Linked DNA regions of Rattus norvegicus. The protein of the gene in region 3 interacts with the protein of the main gene of each other region in a pairwise test. Links are inferred from orthologs where the notes say so. Each region holds a gene or a part of one and is shown on either strand. Other genes may lie near its edges.

Evidence for each region.
Region 1: the proteins of Katnal1 (region 3) and Cep57l1 interact in binary tests that used the Homo sapiens proteins (3 or more experiments, as listed by UniProt). The two-hybrid records come from large-scale screens. The link is inferred for Rattus norvegicus from reciprocal best matches to the Homo sapiens genes KATNAL1 and CEP57L1.
Region 2: the proteins of Katnal1 (region 3) and Katnbl1 interact in binary tests that used the Homo sapiens proteins (3 or more experiments, as listed by UniProt). The two-hybrid records come from large-scale screens. The link is inferred for Rattus norvegicus from reciprocal best matches to the Homo sapiens genes KATNAL1 and KATNBL1.
Region 4: the proteins of Katnal1 (region 3) and Cox17 interact in binary tests that used the Homo sapiens proteins (3 or more experiments, as listed by UniProt). The two-hybrid records come from large-scale screens. The link is inferred for Rattus norvegicus from reciprocal best matches to the Homo sapiens genes KATNAL1 and COX17.
Region 5: the proteins of Katnal1 (region 3) and Klc4 interact in binary tests that used the Homo sapiens proteins (3 or more experiments, as listed by UniProt). The two-hybrid records come from large-scale screens. The link is inferred for Rattus norvegicus from reciprocal best matches to the Homo sapiens genes KATNAL1 and KLC4.

Annotation. Positions count from the first base shown.
Region 1 is NC_086038.1:46,828,341-46,831,951, forward strand, and holds part of Cep57l1 (centrosomal protein CEP57L1), read right to left. Parts: intron 2,012-3,611; coding exon 1,895-2,011; intron 750-1,894; coding exon 672-749; intron 127-671; coding exon 40-126; intron 1-39. UniProt on the Homo sapiens protein: Centrosomal protein which may be required for microtubule attachment to centrosomes.
Region 2 is NC_086021.1:119,672,617-119,676,227, forward strand, and holds part of Katnbl1 (KATNB1-like protein 1), read left to right. Parts: intron 1-349; coding exon 350-468; intron 469-1,064; coding exon 1,065-1,115; intron 1,116-1,201; coding exon 1,202-1,291; intron 1,292-1,777; coding exon 1,778-1,867; intron 1,868-2,808; coding exon 2,809-2,902; coding exon of another isoform or gene 2,903-2,959; exon of another isoform or gene 2,960-3,611.
Region 3 is NC_086030.1:11,137,673-11,141,993, reverse strand, and holds the start of Katnal1 (katanin p60 ATPase-containing subunit A-like 1), read right to left. Parts: upstream 2,842-4,321; 5' UTR 2,776-2,841; exon of another isoform or gene 2,206-2,775; intron 1-2,205. UniProt on the Homo sapiens protein: Regulates microtubule dynamics in Sertoli cells, a process that is essential for spermiogenesis and male fertility. Severs microtubules in an ATP-dependent manner, promoting rapid reorganization of cellular microtubule arrays.
Region 4 is NC_086029.1:75,909,217-75,913,610, forward strand, and holds the start of Cox17 (COX17 homolog, cytochrome c oxidase assembly protein), read right to left. Parts: upstream 2,804-4,394; 5' UTR 2,711-2,803; coding exon 2,604-2,710; intron 420-2,603; coding exon 335-419; 3' UTR 331-334; exon of another isoform or gene 1-330.
Region 5 is NC_086027.1:21,833,882-21,837,973, forward strand, and holds the start of Klc4 (kinesin light chain 4), read left to right. Parts: upstream 1-1,253; 5' UTR 1,254-1,487; exon of another isoform or gene 1,488-1,498; intron 1,499-1,855; 5' UTR 1,856-1,928; intron 1,929-2,504; 5' UTR 2,505-2,510; coding exon 2,511-2,768; intron 2,769-4,092. Other genes in the region: Mrpl2 (large ribosomal subunit protein uL2m precursor), read right to left, coding at 598-693.

The DNA.
Region 1 (3,611 bases), on a different chromosome or scaffold from region 3:
GTTAGGAAGGATTGTCTGGGATGACTGGAGATAACGCACCTTTGGTAGTTTCTTCCTTTCGTTACAAAGCTTTGAACTAGAAACTGTGGACATTAAGATTTTGCTGATTTCAAGTCCAGTTTGAAGCTACAAAAACAAAGAGACGAGACTGAGCTGTAGCAAGCTTCTTCATGTAGAACGAAAGGCGAGATCTCAGCTGTTGGGGAAAAGGGACTTCCTGGGGGCAAAGCATTGCTCAGCTGCAGTGACTTGGATGGGGCCAAAGCAGGACTGCAGGAGCCCAGGAGTTCAGCCAGCCTGGGAGGCGCCGTGAGCCTCCATGTGGAAGCAAAGAAAAGAAAGAAAACAAAACTAAACAATAGAGCTCAAAACCCGGACATCGTTGAGGAAGAATAACCCCGTATGTTGGTTTGGTCATAGGTGACTCTCACACCGGAACTGAAGTACGTGAGGCGTCAGCGGTCTCACCTGAGAGGGTGGGTATGGCAAGGTCTGTTGGCAACGTAGAGAAGTCTATGGAGGCATGGGCTAAGCAAGAATTTTGTTACCACGGCAAAAACAGAGACAGTCGTAACAACCCAGAATACCAAAACAGTGCAGACTATGGCTGGGATCATGAGAGTGAAGCACACATAGATGAGGCCACGGCAGAGACAAAAGTTGCTACTGACCTCACACGCTCTATCTTGAAACAGCCTGCGCTGGTGCTCCTCCTCCTTTAGTTTTTCCTCTAGATATTTAATCTTCTCCTGCAAGAGAAGGAACGTGGATGAAAGCCAGAGCCAAATGTCCCTCATCCCCTTTCCAGTGCACACTGCATACCTTACACACGTGCACTGCATACCTTACACATGTGTACTGTATACTTTACACATGCACTGTATACCTTACACATGTGCACTGTATACCTTACAAATGCACTGCATACCTTACACACGTGCACTGCATACCTTACACATGTGTACTGTATACTTTACACATGCACTGTATACCTTACACATGTGCACTGTATACCTTACAAATGCACTGCATACCTTACACACATGCACTGTATACCTTACACATGTGCACTGTATACCTTACAAATGCACTGCATAACTTACACATGTGCACTGTATACCTTACACATGTGCACTGCATACCTTACACATGTGCACTACATACCTTACACATGTGCACTGTATACCTTACACATGTGCACTGCATACCTTACACATGTGCACTGTATACCTTACACATGTGCACTGTATACCTTACACATGTGCACTGCATACCTTACACATGTGCACTGTATACCTTACACATGTGCACTGTATACCTTACACATGTGCACTGCATACCTTACACATGTGCACTGTATACCTTACACATGTGCACTGTATATCTTACACATGTGCACTGCATACCTTACACATGTGCACTGTATACCTTACACATGTGCACTGTATACCTTAGACACTCACTGTATACCTTACACACGCACATATTACCTTGGTGTGGTTCAGAATTGGAACCATGACAGAAGTGTCAAAGGCAGAGACTTCTGTGTATGGAGCATAAGAGGGCCTACAAAGAGGGGTTTGGGGGGTGGGGTTCTGAAACAATTCTGTGCAATAAGGACTTGGGGGAGGAGGAACCCCATGTGGGAGAGGTGTGACCATATACTATCCTTTAGGTCAGACACCGGCTGAATGGAAATGTTCCATCATCATAGAAGCCAAGCCCATCCTCTGATAGCCGAGTGTGACAGAACACACTGTCTCCACGGGCAGGATTTACCCAGATTACTGAGCACTCTACAGGAACTGCCCCAATCTGTGACCGTTCCGTCACGTTCAATGCCAGCTTCGCCTCGCTCCTGGCACCGTAGCTTCAGGGACAAGCAGACGCTTACCTCCGCAGTCTGCTGGGTCGTCGTCAGCCTCAAACACTCTTTTTCTAAGACGTCCAGCTTCTCCAGTTTAGCGTGTAGCTTCATCTGATCTTGTTCTTTTTCCCTCTGAAGCTGGGCCTGGTGAAGATAAGAACCAATTCCACACTTGGCAGCGATGCCAGTGGATCACGAACAACATAACTTCTGAGAAACCAAAATATAACATAAGTCGGTTGCTAGAAGCATGTATACACACGTGTGTGTGCATATATGAGTAGAAATTCAAATCCTTTTAAGGTGCCACTGTAAGAGATGATGGACACGTTGCTGACTTAGCATTGGCAGAATAAATTCCTCTTTGTGTCTTTCTACAACAGTGGCACTAGGCAAAACATCACAGCAACACTTACAGTAAGGAGACGAGGTGTGTGTGACTCACGGGTGACCACGTCGCTCACTCCCAGGCTCCCTGACTCAACGGAAAGAGCAGCCAGGGAATAAACCATGAAGAAAGTCACCGTGCACACACATGCACACTGTCTTACAGGACTGTTTATTACCAACCACGTCATGAGGACAACCGACGAGGGCCAAGGGAGACCTGTATGTGCTCTCCTCTGAACATAAAATGGCTCTAAATAGGAAGGCCACTAAGACAAAATGCAAAGCGAGCAGCAGAAGAGCGGGGACTTCTGCCCAGTCCTGGAGCCTCAGAGAACAGAGGGAGTAAGACAGAAGCCCGCTGGAAGAAAAAAGACCAAAAATGTCCAAAAGTAATTTAAAATGGAGAGATTAACACAGACTAGGAATGGAACATTGGGAGGAGAATTCGGGGTGCTTGTGAGAAAACTCCAAGAAAACAAGAGTCTTGTGAGCTCAGTTTCTTCAAACCCTGGAATTGTTCTTGTATCATTTCCCTGCTTCTCCTGGTGCAGCGGATGGAGGGAGTCTACTCAATACGGCTGCCGCCGTTACTCAATGAGATGTAAACTGTCCATCACCGCCTGTGGAACAGGCTCCTGCCCCGTGTGGCTTATCTGTGGGATTACATACGCAGCTTGTACTCAGGAGAACTTTATCAGTGACCTTTCTTACCCTCACTATGTAATTCGTCTGAGCTCTGAACGGAGTTGGCTATGGCATGAGACGTTAGTTGGTCATTTATTGCAGTTCTCAACCTTTTTAAAAGTGCTGTAACCCTTTAGTACAGTTCTTCATATTCTGGTAAACCCCCAACCACAAAATTTTGTTGCTACTTCATTCATAACTGTAATTTTCTACTTTTATGAATCTGTGATGGTTTGCATATGCATATGCTCAAAAAAATGGCACTATTAGGAGGTGTGGCCTTGTTGGAGGAGGTGTATGACTGTCAGACTGGGCTTGGAGACCCTCCTCCTGGCTACCTGAGGATGCTCAGTCTTTCCTGGCTTCCTTTGGGTGAAGATGTAGAACTCAGCCCCTCCTGCCCCGTGCCTGCCTGGACACTGCCATGCTCCTGCCTTGATGATAATGGACTGAACCTCTGAACCTGTAAGCCAGCCCCAGTTAAATGTTGTCCTTATGAGACTTGCCTTGGTCATGGCGTCTGTTCACAGCGAGACCCTCACTGAGACAGAATCGTAGTGTGAATAGCTGAGATACAGGGTATCGTAATCACAGGCCTTAGGCTGAGGACCACTCGACTGGCTCCGGTTCCCACCCACAGAGTGGTACACAGTCCGTCAGTTACCAATGC
Region 2 (3,611 bases), on a different chromosome or scaffold from region 3:
ATGTTTGTGACAGGACCACAGCCCAGTCTGTGCTTTCTCTCTCGTGCTGCTCATTTGATAATTACTAGCCTATGTGCTTCCCTTTTCTCTGTCTCCATATCCATAAAGTTCACCTAGAAATAACTTACTGGATAAACTACTGGGATTTTGAAAAAACACTAGCAAGGAGGGAGGAGAGAAAAAGTAGAATTTGCTCACATCATTCACTGTATTCAACTGTAAATTACAGTATAAGAAGTTACCTGTGCATAGTTTAAGGCTGTGTCTACCAGACCATTTTTATTTTAAAAAAAAAGTCTGTGTCATGTTTCATGGTTTTTTTTTAACAGATTAGATGATTGCCTTTCAGGTTTCTCAGGACCATGAGACAATGGCCCAAGTTCTATTCAGCAGGAATTTGAGATTGAATGTAGCTTTGACTTTCTGGAGAAAGAGAAGTGTTAGTGAACTTGTAGCTTATTTAGTGAGGTGAGTATGATGTTTTTGTTTCTGTTTAACATGGGTAATTTTTTAATGAGATATGAAAAGTGTCTTTTGAGGAAGTTTTTATTGGTTAAGATGTAAACATTGTATTTAGTGTCCATAGAGACTCTATAGTTTAAATCACATCCATCACCAGTTTAAGTGTAATGAGGGTACAGAAAACTTGCAGATTAAACAAGCTGTTGCTTTTTCTGGTTACAATTCTATTCTTATCTGTAAAACTAAAAATGGGAAACCTGCCATTTGAAAAAAATCCTCTCTGGGAATCTTAAGCATCACCCTCCTCATCGTATTTAAGCCTCTGAAGTACTACCTTACTGAGTGATGCCTACTCCATGCCTCACTGAGTACCTTCTTGAAAAAGATGTGCTTCATCCCCCATGTCGTTTTCTATGCCTCCTACACCCACTCAGGCACTGGAAAGCAAGCCCTGTCTCTGTTTCCCCTTTGTGTCCTCAGTACTTGCCTCATGATAAATGCTGAAGTTATTTGTTGAATATCAAATGCCTCGAGAGGAGGATGGAGATTATAATGTGAATGACTAAGGACACTAAGCAATGGTATCTGTCTTGTACTCACAGGATAGAAGACCTTGGAGTTGTGGTAGATTGCCTTCCTGTTCTAACCAATAGGTAAATGCAGTAATTTTTTTTCCAGAAAAAAAAAAAAGCTTTAAAGAAAAACAAATTTTAATCAGTTCGTATTTTATAACTTTTAGTTTACAGGAAGAAAAGCAATGTATCTCTCTTGGCTGCTGTGTAGACTTATTTCCTCTAGTAAAGTCTTTACTTCAAAGCAGATTTGAAGAGTAAGTGCTAATTTAAATCTCAGCTTCCTTTTTCTCTTTCAACATTCTTGATTTTTCTGTTTTGTGAGTACATGGTAGGAGACTGAGCTCCTGTACGTTTGGGAAATACATGATACCTGTTTTGGTAATTTTAATTAAAACACCTTCACTACACTTTATTTATTGTGACAGTGGGGTAAGAGAGCACCTTCTAGAAGTTGGTTCTCCATCCACCTTGTGAATTCAGATTTACTGTTTGTCAGCTTTAGGCTCAGATTCATTTACCCACTGAGCCCTTTTCTCCAGCCCTATTTCTGTTTCCAAGGCGTTTCCGAAAGGATCTAAGAACAGCTATGTAGTTTCTATGGCTTTTGAATAGATCATGAAAGCAGTAAAATATATTTTTTTAAGGGGAGTGATTGGCGTATATCTGCGGGAACTTTGGGAATATAGTCATTGTTATAGGCTTATAAAACATTTACATTTTGTCACAATATTTTATTTCAGATATGTAATTGTTGGCTTAAACTGGCTTCAAGCAGTAATAAAAAGGTGGTGGTCAGAACTCTCATCTAAATCAGAAATTATAAGTGATGGGTAAGTATAACTTTAAAGATAATTTGTGCTGGACTTTCTATGGAAAAGTATCTTAATTAAACAAAGTAATGAGTTTATTCTGTGATCATCATTGTATAATTTTATTTCCTTCATTTTTAGAGAAATATTAAATAGGTACTTTATGTTTTTGAAAAACCATGCAGAGTCTTATAACTCCTTTTATCTCTGCTGCCAGAACCTTACCTTTTATTTTATGTTTTGTTTTGTGACACTCTCACTGTGTGTCTTCAGCCCCAACATCCTCGGTGCTGATGTGAGACAGCATACCTATCTGGACCCTTCCCTCAGGAGGGGTAACAGCACAGCAGTGGCGTAACCTCTCCAAGCACTGTACCAGGAAGGTAGAAGAAAGCCCTTGGTGTAGTAAGGAATGGAAGTATTCTGACAGGTCTCTGAACATGGTTATAATCGGCATGATTTGACTATTGCCTAAACTTGAAAATGTGTGAGGAGTCTCCCAAATGAACTGAACTCAAGCCAGGCATGGTGGAACACGCCTATAATCCCAGCACTGGGAAGGCCAAGTCAGGAAGAATACAAGTTTGAGGCTAGCATAGGCTGCAGAGCAAGACTCTGTATTTTTTTTTTTAAAGGAACAAAGAAACAAAAAGCCAGATGGTGTTGAAAACAATACAGTCTCTCCCCTAATTCCCTCTTAAATTCCATAACCTTTGTAGACTCAACAAAATTTTCCACTTCATACCCAAGAAAGTTGTCCACTTGGTACAAATGCCTGCTTGCTGTCTCATCTACTTTGACAACCAAATATCTATGAATTTCTGTCTGGAATGGCATATACCATTTTAAGAAGTTGCTTGATTTTAGTATATGGTTTTCTACTGATACAAATAAATTAAAACCAAGTCTTTATCTTACTGTTGGCTTTCTTGTTTTTCTTTCTTTCTTCTTTTTTCCTTCAGAAATATTAAGATTTTAAAGCAACAGTTGAATGGATTATGGGAACAGGAAAACCATCTTACTTTGGTTCCAGGATATACTGGTAATATAGCTAAGGTAATCTATATTTGTAATTTAAGAGTGATACATGAATTTAATATTGATCTATATTGATACGCTTATCTCTTACAGGAAAAAGGCACATTGCTAGTTGGGATTTTAATATTTAAACTTTTAGAGGTCATTGATAGTTGATGATTGCAGAAAGAATTGGTGGTAAGAAGTATTTCCACCTTACTGCTGGGCGTTTGCTGTCTGAGTAGTTATTTGCTGGGAAATAAAGACATTGTATGGTTTAAGGAAATGTTAACGTCACTGGCTCATGAGGTTTTCTTGGACATCTATGTAAAAAGAAACACATGAGATTGAGCATTAACTACATCACTATGTGATTGTACACACATTTCCCTGACCTCTACCCCATCCCATTTCCCCCTCCCTACCTGACCTCTTTGTCTTTGTTTTTGCTGAGACAGTTTTACTCTGGAGCCCTGACTGGCCTGGAATTTGCTATGTAGGCTAGGCTGACCTCAAAGTCACAGAAATCTGCCTGCCTTTGCCTCCCAAGTTCTGGGATTAAAGCCTTATAAACAGTTCTGTTTTTCTGAAGTTGTTTTGTGCTTACAGTTTTAAAGTATATATAACACATTACTGTGAAGACTTTAGTAGAGCTCAAAGCATTGTTTGCCTAACATTTTTTTTTTTTTTTAATGTTACTGAGACAGGTCTGTATAGTTAGGGCTATCCGTACGTTACTGTGAAGCCC
Region 3 (4,321 bases):
TCCTCCAAAATGCCGCACATACTCCAACCAGGCCACACCTCCTAATAGTGTCATTTCCCATGGAACAAGCTTATTCAAACCAGCACAGCCTCTGAGGTCTCCAGAATTCCAAATGTCACACAATTGCGAAACTCAAAGAAGTCAACCTGCTTCTTCTTTCTGGTTACTTGACTAAATGTGTGTACCGCCACCCCTGGCCTCACCCTGGTTTTTGAGGAGCTTTGGGAATTGAACCCCTGGTCTTTAGGCTTCCATAACCAGCACCAACTGAACTCTCTCTCTCTCCAGTGCCTGCATGGGTTTTAAACCTCTTCTGAAACTTCAGGATGTGACTGAAGTGGAGACTTCTAAGTGGTATCTGGAAAGCACACATTACATAGTCCTCAGGATGTTTGTGGTGACTTTGTAATAGAATGCTTGTGGTGACTTTGTAGTACTCCTCTGCCTGTGATTACAGAGACACAGAATGAGGTGTCACATCAATGATTTAACACCAGGAGAGATCCCGGCCCTGTCCAAGGAGGAGCTGCAGGTGCCTGTCACCAGAGGGGACTTGGAGTTGGCGCTGAAGAAAATCGCCAAGTCTGTCTCTTCTGCAGACCTGGAGAAGTACGGAAGGTGGATGGTTGAGTTCATATCTGAGTGATTGGTCAGCTCTTCTATTTCCGGGAGATTTGTTTATGAAATATGAAGAAATTCCTGAAACTAAAGAAATCTGGGATTTTTTTTTAATGAGAGAAATCTTCACTTAAAGGCCAAAACAAAACAAAAATGCCTAGAGGTACAGAGAAACATAGTTGAGAATAAGAGACGCCCATAGAATCTGCTGGCTTTGGGCTACCAAACCTTATACTCATGCTACAGAACAAGCAAGCTAGAGGCCCGGGATTGAAGAGCCTTCATCAGGACTACTTATAATGATTAGGGGTGTCAAGTTCCTCAGGGCAAGCTCAATCTTTGCCATCAGGAGATCTAATTTCTTCTTGTTGTTTCTTCTCTGCATAGGCATAACTACTTAATGACTGGTGATCAACAACCAACCCCACCTCTTGGAGCCATAGCATTTATATACCCTCTGAGAAGTCCCCAGAATTCCAAACATTACAGTCACAGAAACTATCTGCCTGTTGGCAAAAGTCATATCCCTGGTAGAGCATGAGGCAAATCATAGCCAACTGCTATGGACAATCTGAAGCAGCCCATATATCCCATACCTGGGATTAAAATGAAAACAATTCTTACAAGATTTCTATGTAAATTACATGTTAAAAAAACCAAAGTTCTCACTACACATACTAAAGAGAGGAAATCGACCTGAGTCATGCCTAAGTCCTGCCTAATCCCCGCATTCTGAGACAGGGAGGCAGATCTCTGAGTTCTAGGACACCCTGGTCTGCATAGTGAGTTCTAGCTTGCCAAAACTACACAGTGAAGCCGTGTCTCTAAAACAAAATAAAATGTGAATAAATCAGTCAAATTTTAAAAAAATAGAAAAGGAAATCGAAACACTTCAACATAGTCAAAAGGAGATTCATCAGAAAGTTCAATAAAATTAATAAATTTCTAGTAAAGCTGGCTAGGAAAAGAGAAGAAATGTTTCCCAAATCAGAAATGAAGGAGATCTAGCAATAGAAACTTCAAAGAGAGGGAAAGGTCAAGCAAACTTAATGAAATAGACAAGGGTGTGAGATCACAGCATATCAAAACCCACTAAGAAATCTCATCAGTCAATGAAACAGAGTTTGTGATTTAAGACCTCCCCAAAATACTCCAGACCCATCAGCTTCACATGTGAGTTCTAGCAAGTACTTGGGGAAGAAAGAAACAAATGCTAAAGACAGCTCTCCAGAAAAAGGCAAAAACTAACCATTTAAAGCCTTACTGGTCTTTAAAGTAGAACCAAAATACGTGTGGGCAACATTCAGGCTGGTAAGTAGGGAATGGAGATGGAACAGGGGGTTGGGGGTGGGAGGAGGCATTACTCCATGACATTGAACCTTAATAGCTAAAATGTAAAATTATATATATATATATATATTTATATATATATATATATATATTCAAGACACCACCAAATAACAGCAATATATCTTTCATCAGCTTTCACATTTGTCCTTTTAAATATTACTGTCCTCTGAACACACGCTAATGAATGGGTTTAATATGCCAACAGCTCTGAGGTACTTGAAAAATAAGCAGAAATACCTAGAAATTCACGGTGGGGGGGGAGGCAAAGGCCTTTTTAATGACGACTTTGTCGGGTCTGCTTTGTCGGGTCTCGCATCGACCTTGCGCCATACATACGGTTCTGCACCGAGAGGCAGCACCCTAAGAAGCCCAGGCCCCGCGCGGTGGCGATGGGGCGGGGCCGCGAGTGCGGCGGCTGCGGGGGCCGGAGCGCAGCACTGAGGCTCACCTGCGCTATCCCCGCCCGATGCACACCGCCCAATTCAGCGACTACCCCGGAACTCCCTGCAGACAAAGAGCCACTTTAACACCATTTGAGCAGCTCCCAATTAATCAGTCTGTCGCCGCGCTCCGGACCCCTGGGCTTTGTAGTTCTCGGCCCGAATCATCCAAATAAGGCGGTGAGCCTGAAGAGCCACCGAACTACAAGGCCCATGATACCCTGCGACTGGTGCTACTGTCCGCTGGACGCTCCGGCTTCTACCCGGGAGCGGCCTGGTGTTGGTGGCCGAGGGATTGCGGAGAGAGGCTCCCCTCCGGGGCTCCGCAACCCGGCTCTCCCAGTCACGCCCGGCCCCTCGGGCTCACCACTTAGATCTTGCAGGTCAGGGCTGTCAAGGAGCGGGGAGGGACGAGGCGGGGCGCCGCTAGCCGCCGCCCGGAGTCCGTTAGTTCGTGGCTGGCGCGGAGAGGCGGTGGCGCACGGTTGCCATGGCAGCTGCGGCAGCGCTGCGGAGAGGGCGTGGGGCTGAGTCAGCGCTGGGAAGCGGGGCTGTGAGGAAGGATGCGCAGGGACGAGTGTGGCGAGCTCGGAGCCCTCACCGGACACGATGAGGAAGGAACCCAAGACCCTAGGTGGGGCGTGCAGCACCTGCCGCATCCGGGCGGGACGTGTGCAGCGGCAGAGCGCTGCTTCTAAGGAGGCGACCTTTGCTGAGCCATCTCTGTAGACTGAAGGCCTCTGGCCAGCCCCCTCCTGCCATCCTCTTGGGAGTAGAGACCGAGCCATTGCATAAGATGGCGTGTGCACGCTGCCTACAGGAAGATTCCGGACTCTTTGGAACTCGTAAATGGCACTGATCCCCACCCATTGAATTCGAAGCTATAATGTGACTTAGGCACACGTTTGCACACTCTCCAGGTTCCTCAGTGTAGTGTAGGCCGGGATTAACGACCTAAATTTCTAACACAGCGCCCTGGCTAACTGGTCAGTAGCCGATGACTCGAGGCACCTTACCTAACCTGCTCTGACGTTTTAGCCTGCAAAATGGAGCTACTATATCCCTGTGTTCCTGAGAGAAACGTTTGTGATGATGAAACGGTATAGAAGTCTGGCAGCCCACACAGTAGCTTTCAGATACTAGTTAATCCAGTAGTGATAAAAGTCCAAATATTTGGCTAGCAGTTGAAGGTGGGTTGGCCGAGGTGGGCAGTTGTCCTGTACCGATTTAAAAGGTTTAGGTCAGGGAAATGTCTGTAACTGTCAGAACTCATGGAATAGAACAGTTATGGTTTGTACATTTTATTGTATATAAATTTACCTCAAAAGGGATGTAATGCCTTAGGAAAATAAATCAATAAAAAAGAAGAAGTGAATTACTGTCCTTAATATTTTCTCATAATTACCTCTTAAGAAATTAGGGCAGGCAGGGCACAGTATCTAGTGCCTTTAATCCTGGCACCCAGGAGGCAGAGGCCAGCCTGGTCTACAAATTGAGTCCAGGACAGCCAGTGCTTGTTACACAAAGAAACCCTATTTTGAAAACAAACAAAAATACAAAAGAAAGAAAAGAACTAGGTTAGGACTAAGGGTGTCACTCCTTTGTTTAAAGCCCCTGCACCACATAAACCTCTGTAACCCAGCATTCAGGAGAATGCAAGCAGGAGGATTAAGTATTCAGGACCAACCTGAGTTACATAAAGCATAAAGGTCAGCTTGGGATGTGCCAGACCCTGTAGAAGAAAAGAACAGGTAAATTATGATGGATCGGGGTAGTGACTCACACTTGTAATCTCAGAACACGGGAGGCCAACCTGGGCTATAAAGTGAGACTGTCTCGGGGTTGGGGATTTACCTCAGTGGTAGAGCGCTTGCCTAGCAAACGCAAGGCCCTGGGCTCGGTCCCCAGCCCCG
Region 4 (4,394 bases), on a different chromosome or scaffold from region 3:
TTAGAAACAGGAAACAGAATATTTTCCACTTAGTTCCTTCACCTTGGAAAATAGTGTGCCTCCCACGGCTATGCCTTCTCCCTGACTACAATGTAACTAAAGGCCCTTATCAAGCCAGTTCTCAAAAGCTTCATACCGTCTCAGATCTAATGGGTGCCTCAAATTGTTGGCACCAAACCATTACAACCCCATGCTAGAAACTGCAAAGTTATTTTTAAGCTGCTACTTAAACATGCTAGATTAACCAGGCAAGCTACCATTAGGAGAATGCTGTCTTGTAGTTGACTCTCTAAGGTGACACTCAGACGTGAAGCAACAGAGTTCACTTACCATGTCATATCTTAAATCCCAGCGCTCTCATGCACTCCTTGTGGGCCTCGATGAGATGTCCACAGTGTTCTTCTCCTTTCTCAATGATGCTATAAAATAAAATGCACTCGTTACCTAGTAAGTAGACAACAAGCAGAATCGTGGGGAGTCTGTGATGGGAGTGAGACAGTGCGTGTGCAGAATGTGGCTGGAGTTACAAACGAAAGTCCCCTATAGCATACAGCTCAGCATCTTTGCGCTCTGTATTTGCTCTTAAGACGGTTCTGTTCCCACAAAGGTGTTCCACAGAACTGAGGTTTTGAAGTTTGTTTTTGTTGTTGTTTGGGGAAGGTTCTAATTACATGAAATAATTATGTAGAACGAATGATGCCTTTAGTCTATACCCAAAATAAACATTTTTTCCCCCCACTCGGAAAGGTTTAATGAGAGAAGAAGAGTAGAAAAGGGGAGAAGTAAAGGCCAGCCATGAGCACATGGAGGGAAGGGGGATGGGAAGTGGGGAGAGAAGGGACAAAGGAGAAGAAGGCAAGAGAGCAGAGAAAAGAGAGAGAGAGGAGGGGGCAAGCAGCCCCTTTTATAGTCAGACATACCTCTAAACATTTCTTTATAATGAAATAAACTGAATGTTTACATAAAATGACGAGGAAAGAGTTTAACTTTTGGGCCTACTATCACACAGAAATTAAGCTCCTGTTTTGTCTTTTCCCCTTACATTCGAACACCTAAGCCTACTTTTAATCATTAAACATCGAACGACATAAACATCCAAAAAGACCTGGTAGCCACGAGCCCCCAAGATGAATCCTTCTTTGGAAGGTTAAGGGACTTCAATGATAAAATCCACAGAGTAATCACGAGAGCCAGAATGTGCTGACACATGCCTTGTAATCATGTTTGGGAAGCTAAGGCAGGAGACTCCTGAGTAGGAGGCTAGCCTGGGCTACATGTCAAGACCCCCGTCTCAAAGAGGAGGGAAATGGGTTCTTCTATTAAAATCCTTACCAGCAGAGGAGCAGACTGGGCAGGGCAGTGGGTTGAGTATAACAGCTAGCTTTCACTCACCACTTACACTCACTGCTAAACCTTACAGAAATGCTGGCCTCACTCAACACACACGTGAGGCAGACTTGTTAAGTATCTTCATAAGGTCACCAAGTTGGAGGAGCAGGATTCAGAGCCTGCCTGAATTTCTAAGCTCTGGATCTTGAGCCACACACTTCCCGAAGTCTCCACTTCAGGAACCTTGGTATCAGACCGACCTTTAAATTCTCCAGTTATGGTATGGCTTGAAAAGTAGTGAGAATAAAATAACTGAGGTGCACTCTTATTACCTTCCTATACCAAGGAATACTTTGTTTTGTCTATTTTTTTTTTTTTTTTTTGGAGACATGGTCTCGCTCTGATGCTCAGGCTGGACTTAAATTTGTTTCGGTCTCCCCAGTAATGAGACTACACCATGAGCATCTATATTTGGTTCCACGACTATTTTTCTACTTTGATGGGAGAAAAAGGTGGAGATGCATATTCCCCACCATCTGAGGACCCCAGTATCTGCTCCAGAATTGAGGCTACATAAAAGTCAGGAGACCAAGCAAAACCTTTTGTGATTTGATGATAGAATAGGTAAACATTATTATCACCTAATCTGTACAGACTGGCTTTTTGCAATTTGTTTTTATTTTATGTGTATAGGTATTTTGCCTGCATGTACACCTGTGCACCATGTGTGTGCAGTGCCTGAAAAAGCTAGAAGGGGGCGTCGGATTCTTCTGGGACTGGAATTACAGAAGACTGTTAACCAACGCCTGAGTGGTGGGAATCGAAGCCAGGCCCTCTCTCTGGAAGGTCAACCAGGGCTTTTATCCACTGAGCCATCTCTCCAGTCCCTGACAGGTGACTTCTAACTTCTGGGAAAGGGTATCCCTTCAGAAATGTACCCTGTGTTCTACTATTCACACGTTTCAAAGAAAAAAAAATTACTAGAGATTACCTGAAACATTTACACCTGGGTCTTAGTAAATCTATACCATAGCAGGTGGCATAGTACTGGCTGGTAACAAGTCTCCACACATTTTAAGTGCCTTTAAATCAAGGAACATCTTTATGCATCTAAGAAGCCTGAAAGGCATTTGTAGCAAGGAATGAAGGACCCGAACTTTGGGGTCAATCTAACCTCTTGCCCTCTCGTTGACCCCTAACTAAGACAGATGCCAGAGAGTAGAACGGAGCCAAGCAGCGGAAGCCCGGAGTCCCCTCCCCGGCTGCGCACTGACCACGCATCACGCGCCTTCTTGGTCTCCGGGCAGGCACAGCAGGGCTTCAGAGGCTTCTTCTCCTGAGCCTCGGGCGGGGCAGGGCTAGCGGCAGCCAGTCCCGGCATCTTTCCAGAGGAAAGCAGTAACGATCGCACACGCGCAAAGCTCCCAAAACTCAGACCAACCCGAGCTGTCTGTATCCACTTCCGCAGTCAAGCGAACGCAGACAGGAAGTCCCTCCTCTCCGGACGGAAGCGAGCCTAAGGAGCGCGCACACAAAAGGGCGTGGCTTTAGCGCAGACCAAAAGGTTAAAAGGTCATCTAGGGTGGTTTTGCTATTTGGTTTGTTTTTGAGATTGTAATTTGATTGCAACATTTCCCTTTTCTGTTTCCTTTCTACAAATCCTCACATATACACGCCCGTTCCCCACTATCCTTCAAATTCGTGGCCTTTTCCTCCCTAATTGTTATTGCATGCATATATGTATACATATATTCCTTTATAACCCGTTCAGTCCACTGTAATGCTATCTGTATTCATATTTTAATGGCTGACCTCTGGGTCCTGGACAACCAGTGGCAGATCCAGGTTCCACCCTAGGGCATTTTGTGATCTTTCTTCCGGTCTTTCTGGTTTAATATATGTTCCGCAGATATTTGGTACAAAGGTCCTCTACTTCCTATTTCTCCCCGGCATATATGCTAAATCTTCAGCTAATATATCATGACACCGTAGTTATGAAAGGCTCTCTCTGTCTCTCATTCTCTCTCTCTCTCTCTCTCTCTCTCTCTCTCTCTCTCTCTCGTGTGTGTGTGTGTGTGTGTGTGTGTGTGTGTGTGTGTGTGTGTGTGTGTGTTGGATAAGTAAATGTAATGGTAACTGATCTTGAAAGTGTAAACCCCTCAGTAGAGCGCCATTGCTTCAAACCAGCCATTCTTTTTTTTTTTTTTTTCAGAGCTGGGGACTGAACCCAGGGCCTTGCGCTTGCTAGGCAAGTGCTCTACCGCTGAGCTAAATCCCCAACCCCCAAACCAGCCATTCTAACTGTAAAGAAGTTTACTAAAATGTACAGCATTTAACATTTGCCACATTTTTGAGTGGCTTCCTCAGACTATCTGTGAATTCGGCAGGAAAAAAAAGTGGTTTGTTTGTTTATATGAGTACACTGTAGTTGTCTTCAGACACACCAGAAGAGGGCATCGGATCCCGTTACAGATGGTTGTGAGCCACCATGTGGTTGCTGGGAATTGAACTCAGGACCTCTGGAAGAGCACTCAGTGCTCTTAACCGCTGAGCCACCTCTCCAGCCCCCAAAAGTGGTTTTAACTTTTAATATAAATATGTGTATAGACAAGGTCTCTGGCCTAAGCTGGCCTTGAACGTTCTGTGGATGACCCTGAACTGATCACTAAATATCGGCATTACAAGTGTGTGCCATGCATACCCGGTGTATAAGGTCTTCCTGCTTGCCAGGCAGACAACCTACAAACTGAGTTACAGACCCTCCTAACCTGGTTTCTATTATAAATTGTCACTCATCAGTAGAATTGAACATACCTTTTCCTGGAACAATTAAATTCAAGAAGGAACAATATAATCGTCAGCATCATACCTCCCATGTGTAGTGCTGGGTGTGAGAGTCATTTAATCCTCATAACAGATCAGGGTTCAGAAAGGCATATAATTTGTTCAGAGCTACATAGCTCACGAGGTTCCACCTCTCCCAAGGTTCCATTTGCTATCCTATATGATGTGTCTAAAGGCAAAGCAACTTCGTTTTAAAACCACTGACCTGTATATATTGGTGT
Region 5 (4,092 bases), on a different chromosome or scaffold from region 3:
AAGAACAGTCAATGCTCTTAACCACTGAGCCATCTCTCCAGACCCCAATAATTTCTTTTTTTCTGTGATTCACCATTGCCCACTTCAGACCCACTGGTTGACATTCCCTAATATCAGCCACAACCTATCCACACATTAAAATGGTTAAGAGCACTGGTTCTGGTGTGAGGTGTGTAGGTCAGAGGTAAAAGTGCACAGCATGAGCAAGGCTCTAGGTTTAATTTGAAGTACGAGAGCAAAAACAAAAGCAAGCTCTGAAGTCAGTCTGTCAAGTCCCAGAAGGTGTAAGACTTAGACTGTTGACCAGTGTTCTCATCTGCAAAATGTGCACAACTTTCAGGAGTTCCTTTAATTCAGTCCTCTATTCTGCTTGGTTTGCGGTTGGCACATTAATGTTACCATTGCAACCTGTTTAGTAAAGATTTGCAAAAGTACTTGGAAGCCAGTATCTCGCTGACGAATGGAGCTTTCGGAGAGAGCAGCATTTACAAACAGCAAAGGATGAAGGCAAGTTTACCCAAGGTCACGTGATCCCGACTAGCCTTGAGGGATCACTGACACCCCAGGCGGATTTTATTTCCCAGGTAAGCGGATTACCTGGCCAACAGGAAGCAGAGTCGGAACCCGGGCGGTAATGGCCGGGGATGCCAGGCTCAAGGAGCGCAGAGCACTAGCCAGCGCGCACAGGGCCATGGAATGGTCAGATTCCTCCGTACAGAACTCGCTTTTACCTTTACCCAGAGCCTGGTGCTCTTAAATGACGTTTCATTCGGGGTACCGTCGCTTTTCAATGACGTAAGAGAGGCGGGCACAGAAGTGCAGCGCCGTAAGATACAAGCTTTCTTTCCTCCCTAGAACAAGTTCTTAGCCAATCATTGGAAGGCACTGAGGTCACATGATGGAAGACAGTCCCCGCCCCTCAGAGCCGTCAAAACAATTGCCTCGAGCGGCAGCCATGATATATTTAAAGGAGCAGTACCCACGAAGGCGGCAGCGGGACCAGCAGACTGCAGGTGAGTCTTTGGGAGTACCCCTGGGGCTGAGAATTAAGATTACACTAACTCTTATTCCCACATTCTGGGACAAATGAGTAAGTCACTTCCTACTAACCACACAAAACTTCAGACTGACTCAAAAACTCCGCCCCCCGCGATTCTTCCCCGCCCCTCGGCGTCCAGACAGACAGTAGGACAACCTGCCCCGCCCCCTGTGGGAACCCCTGACTCCGTGACCTCGAGCTTGTCCGCTGTCGGGTCTTGGTCAGCGACTCTGCCCTCACTTCCACCTTCCTCTCCCCTCAGCCCTCGAAGATCTTACTTCTGTCCTTACCCTCGGCTCTCAGGGCAAGTTAGGACCCTTAGACACTCCTGATTGTAGGCCCCCAGGCTTGGATAGCCTGCGCTCAGCGCCTTTCTCTATGACCCCACTGTGCACGGCAGATCTGCTACGCTTCCCTGGACCATCCGGCACTTGAGAGGCAACTTAAGGTGCCTGTTAGGTGATTATGTCAGACAAAGCCATGAAAGGCGGCTATTGCGGTAATCCAGTCGGGAATCTGTAACCAGGTCTCCCTTTAACAGGCACACCACACCCATTGCTTCAGGTCTCAGATTAAATCGGTCTTTCTTTCCCTTATTGGGAGAAAGTAACTCCTCAGAGCTAGAACGAGGAGATTGAGGAAGAAGGGACATTAGTACGAGTCTCTGAAGAACCTGTAGGCTGAAGGAGGGAGGGTGTTTGTCCTGGGTGGGGCTCTGTGCCAGGTCCTCTGGGAGGCTGTGAGGTGGTGACAGAGAAGGGGTGGGACTGCCGGACTTCTGGACTTTGGGCAGTACAAATCCTTCTAAATCCTTAGTTGCAGGTCAGAGTTTCTTCCGGGCTCTGGCCTGGGAGCCACCTGAAACCAAGGGCTTCTGCTCTGTACACAGGTAAGGAGACTTCGGAAATGAGTTTGGAGGAAGTAGGAAGACAGTCTGAATTCTGGGGGTGGGGTGGGCTGGGAAAGTTAGTTGGAAAGGAGTTTAGCAGGTCGGGAGGTGCTGGGCTTAGTCCCTTGCTGATGCAGTCTGAAGACCTTCAACCTTCCAAGCCCTGTAATAACCACTGCTGTTTCCTCTCCCCCTCCTTCACTAAGCTTGGGTCCTTCCCCTTTATATTGGGACAGTGCTTTCTGCACAGCTCTTCCACCCGCCCTCTGTGATCCTTACAGTGCTTCACATCCCCTGCTTCCTTTTCCTAACCCATGCTCTCTCTCCAATTGCCAAGTCCTAAATTCCTCTAGCTCTAAGCCCGCCCGATTGTTCTAAAGATCTTTATTGAAGTTCATTCCTCTCCCTCACCTTACTTTTACGGTTAGTGCGGTGGAATTTCCTCCTCTTTACCTAGGCCCTTTCGTCAGCTTAGTCATGGGGGTCTCCCATCCTCTTCCCTTCGTGTGGATGCCCACCAGTCTCTAACATTGTGTCTTTCGTCGTTTCCACCTGAACTCTGTGGTTTCTCTTTAGCTGAGGATGTCAGGCCTGGTATTGGGGCAGCGGGATGAGCCTGCAGGGCACCGGCTCAGTCAAGAGGAGATCTTGGGCAGTACCAGGTTGGTGAGCCAAGGGCTGGAGTCCCTACACAGTGAGCACCAGGCTGTGCTACAGAGCCTGTCCCACACCATCGAGTGTCTGCAACAGGGAGGCCATGAGGAAGGACTGGTGCATGAGAAAGCCCGGCAGCTGCGACGGTCTATGGAGAACATTGAGCTGGGACTCAGCGAGGCCCAGGTAAGAATCAGGGGTGATACCAAGTGTTCCAGTTATCTGATGCAAGTTTGGGGTCACCTTGTCCTAGAAACTTGGATTTGTTAATTCATTAAATATTCATTAAGTGACTACTGTGTGTCTCAACTCTTGTGAATGCTGGTGGTGCATTACAGAACAACACTGAGTAATTCCTCTCTGAGCTGATATTATAGCTGGGGGGATAGCTAGAACACAGGTCCATAAGTAAATGATTTACTGTGCCAGAGTAATCATTGCTGAGGACAGAACAAAGACAAAGACAGAAGGGAAGGAGCTGGAGAGATGGCGCTGGCTGCTCTTCCAGAGGTCCTGAGTTCAATTCCCAGCAATGGTGGCTCACAACCATCTGTAATGGGACCCGATGCCCTCTTCTGGTATGTCTGAAGAGAATGTAGTCATAGACATAAAATAAATAAATCTTTAAGAAAGGAGGGAAGTAGGAAGAGGATGCATTTTCACACAGATTGGTCATAAAATAACCTCACTTTTGAGCAAAGATTTGAGGGTGAAAAAGGAAGTCATGGGATAAAGGGTTCCAAGCAGGTAGGACAGGTGCAAAGGCTTTGCGTGGAGCCTGGGGTGAATTTAGTGATTTACAGCGCTGGTGTGGCTTTCTACAGGGTACACAGTGAGTGAGGGGACACAGTAGATCACTCCGGAGGAGGAAGGATCCCATCAGAGACATCCACAGATAGTGTGGAGCCGGCAGGCTGTCCTGGGGTTTTTTGCTTGTCTGTTGAGAGAGATGGGAGCTGTTGGGACGTCTGAGGAGGGATGGGACTCAGCCTGGGAGAGAGTAGAACTAGAGACTAACAGAGACAGGGAGGCCTGGGAGAGGCTGCTATTGTCTAGGTAGGAACTGGCAGTTTGGCATCTGATGAAAACAATAGGGGTGCTGGCAGCTGGGGTTAGTTTATGTATTTAATTCCGTTCATTCATTTATGGATTTAGTTATTTATTTTATGTATATGAGTATACTGTCACTCTCTTCAGACACACCAGAAGACAGCATTGGATCCCATTACAGATGGTTGTGAGTCACCATGTGGGTGCTGGGAATTAAACTCAGGACCTCTGGAAGAGCGGTCAGTGCTCTGAGCCTCTGACCCATCGCTCCAGCCCGAGTATTTCTCTTTTTTAATTCCATTCATTTATTTTATATATACAGGTGTTTTGTCTGCATCTATGAGTATATGCTACCTGTAATCTAGTATGTGCAGAGGCCAGAAGAGGCCATTGGAGCCTCTGGAACTGGAGTTACAGGTGGCTGTGAGCCAACATGTTGGTGCTAAGAATTGAAGCCAGA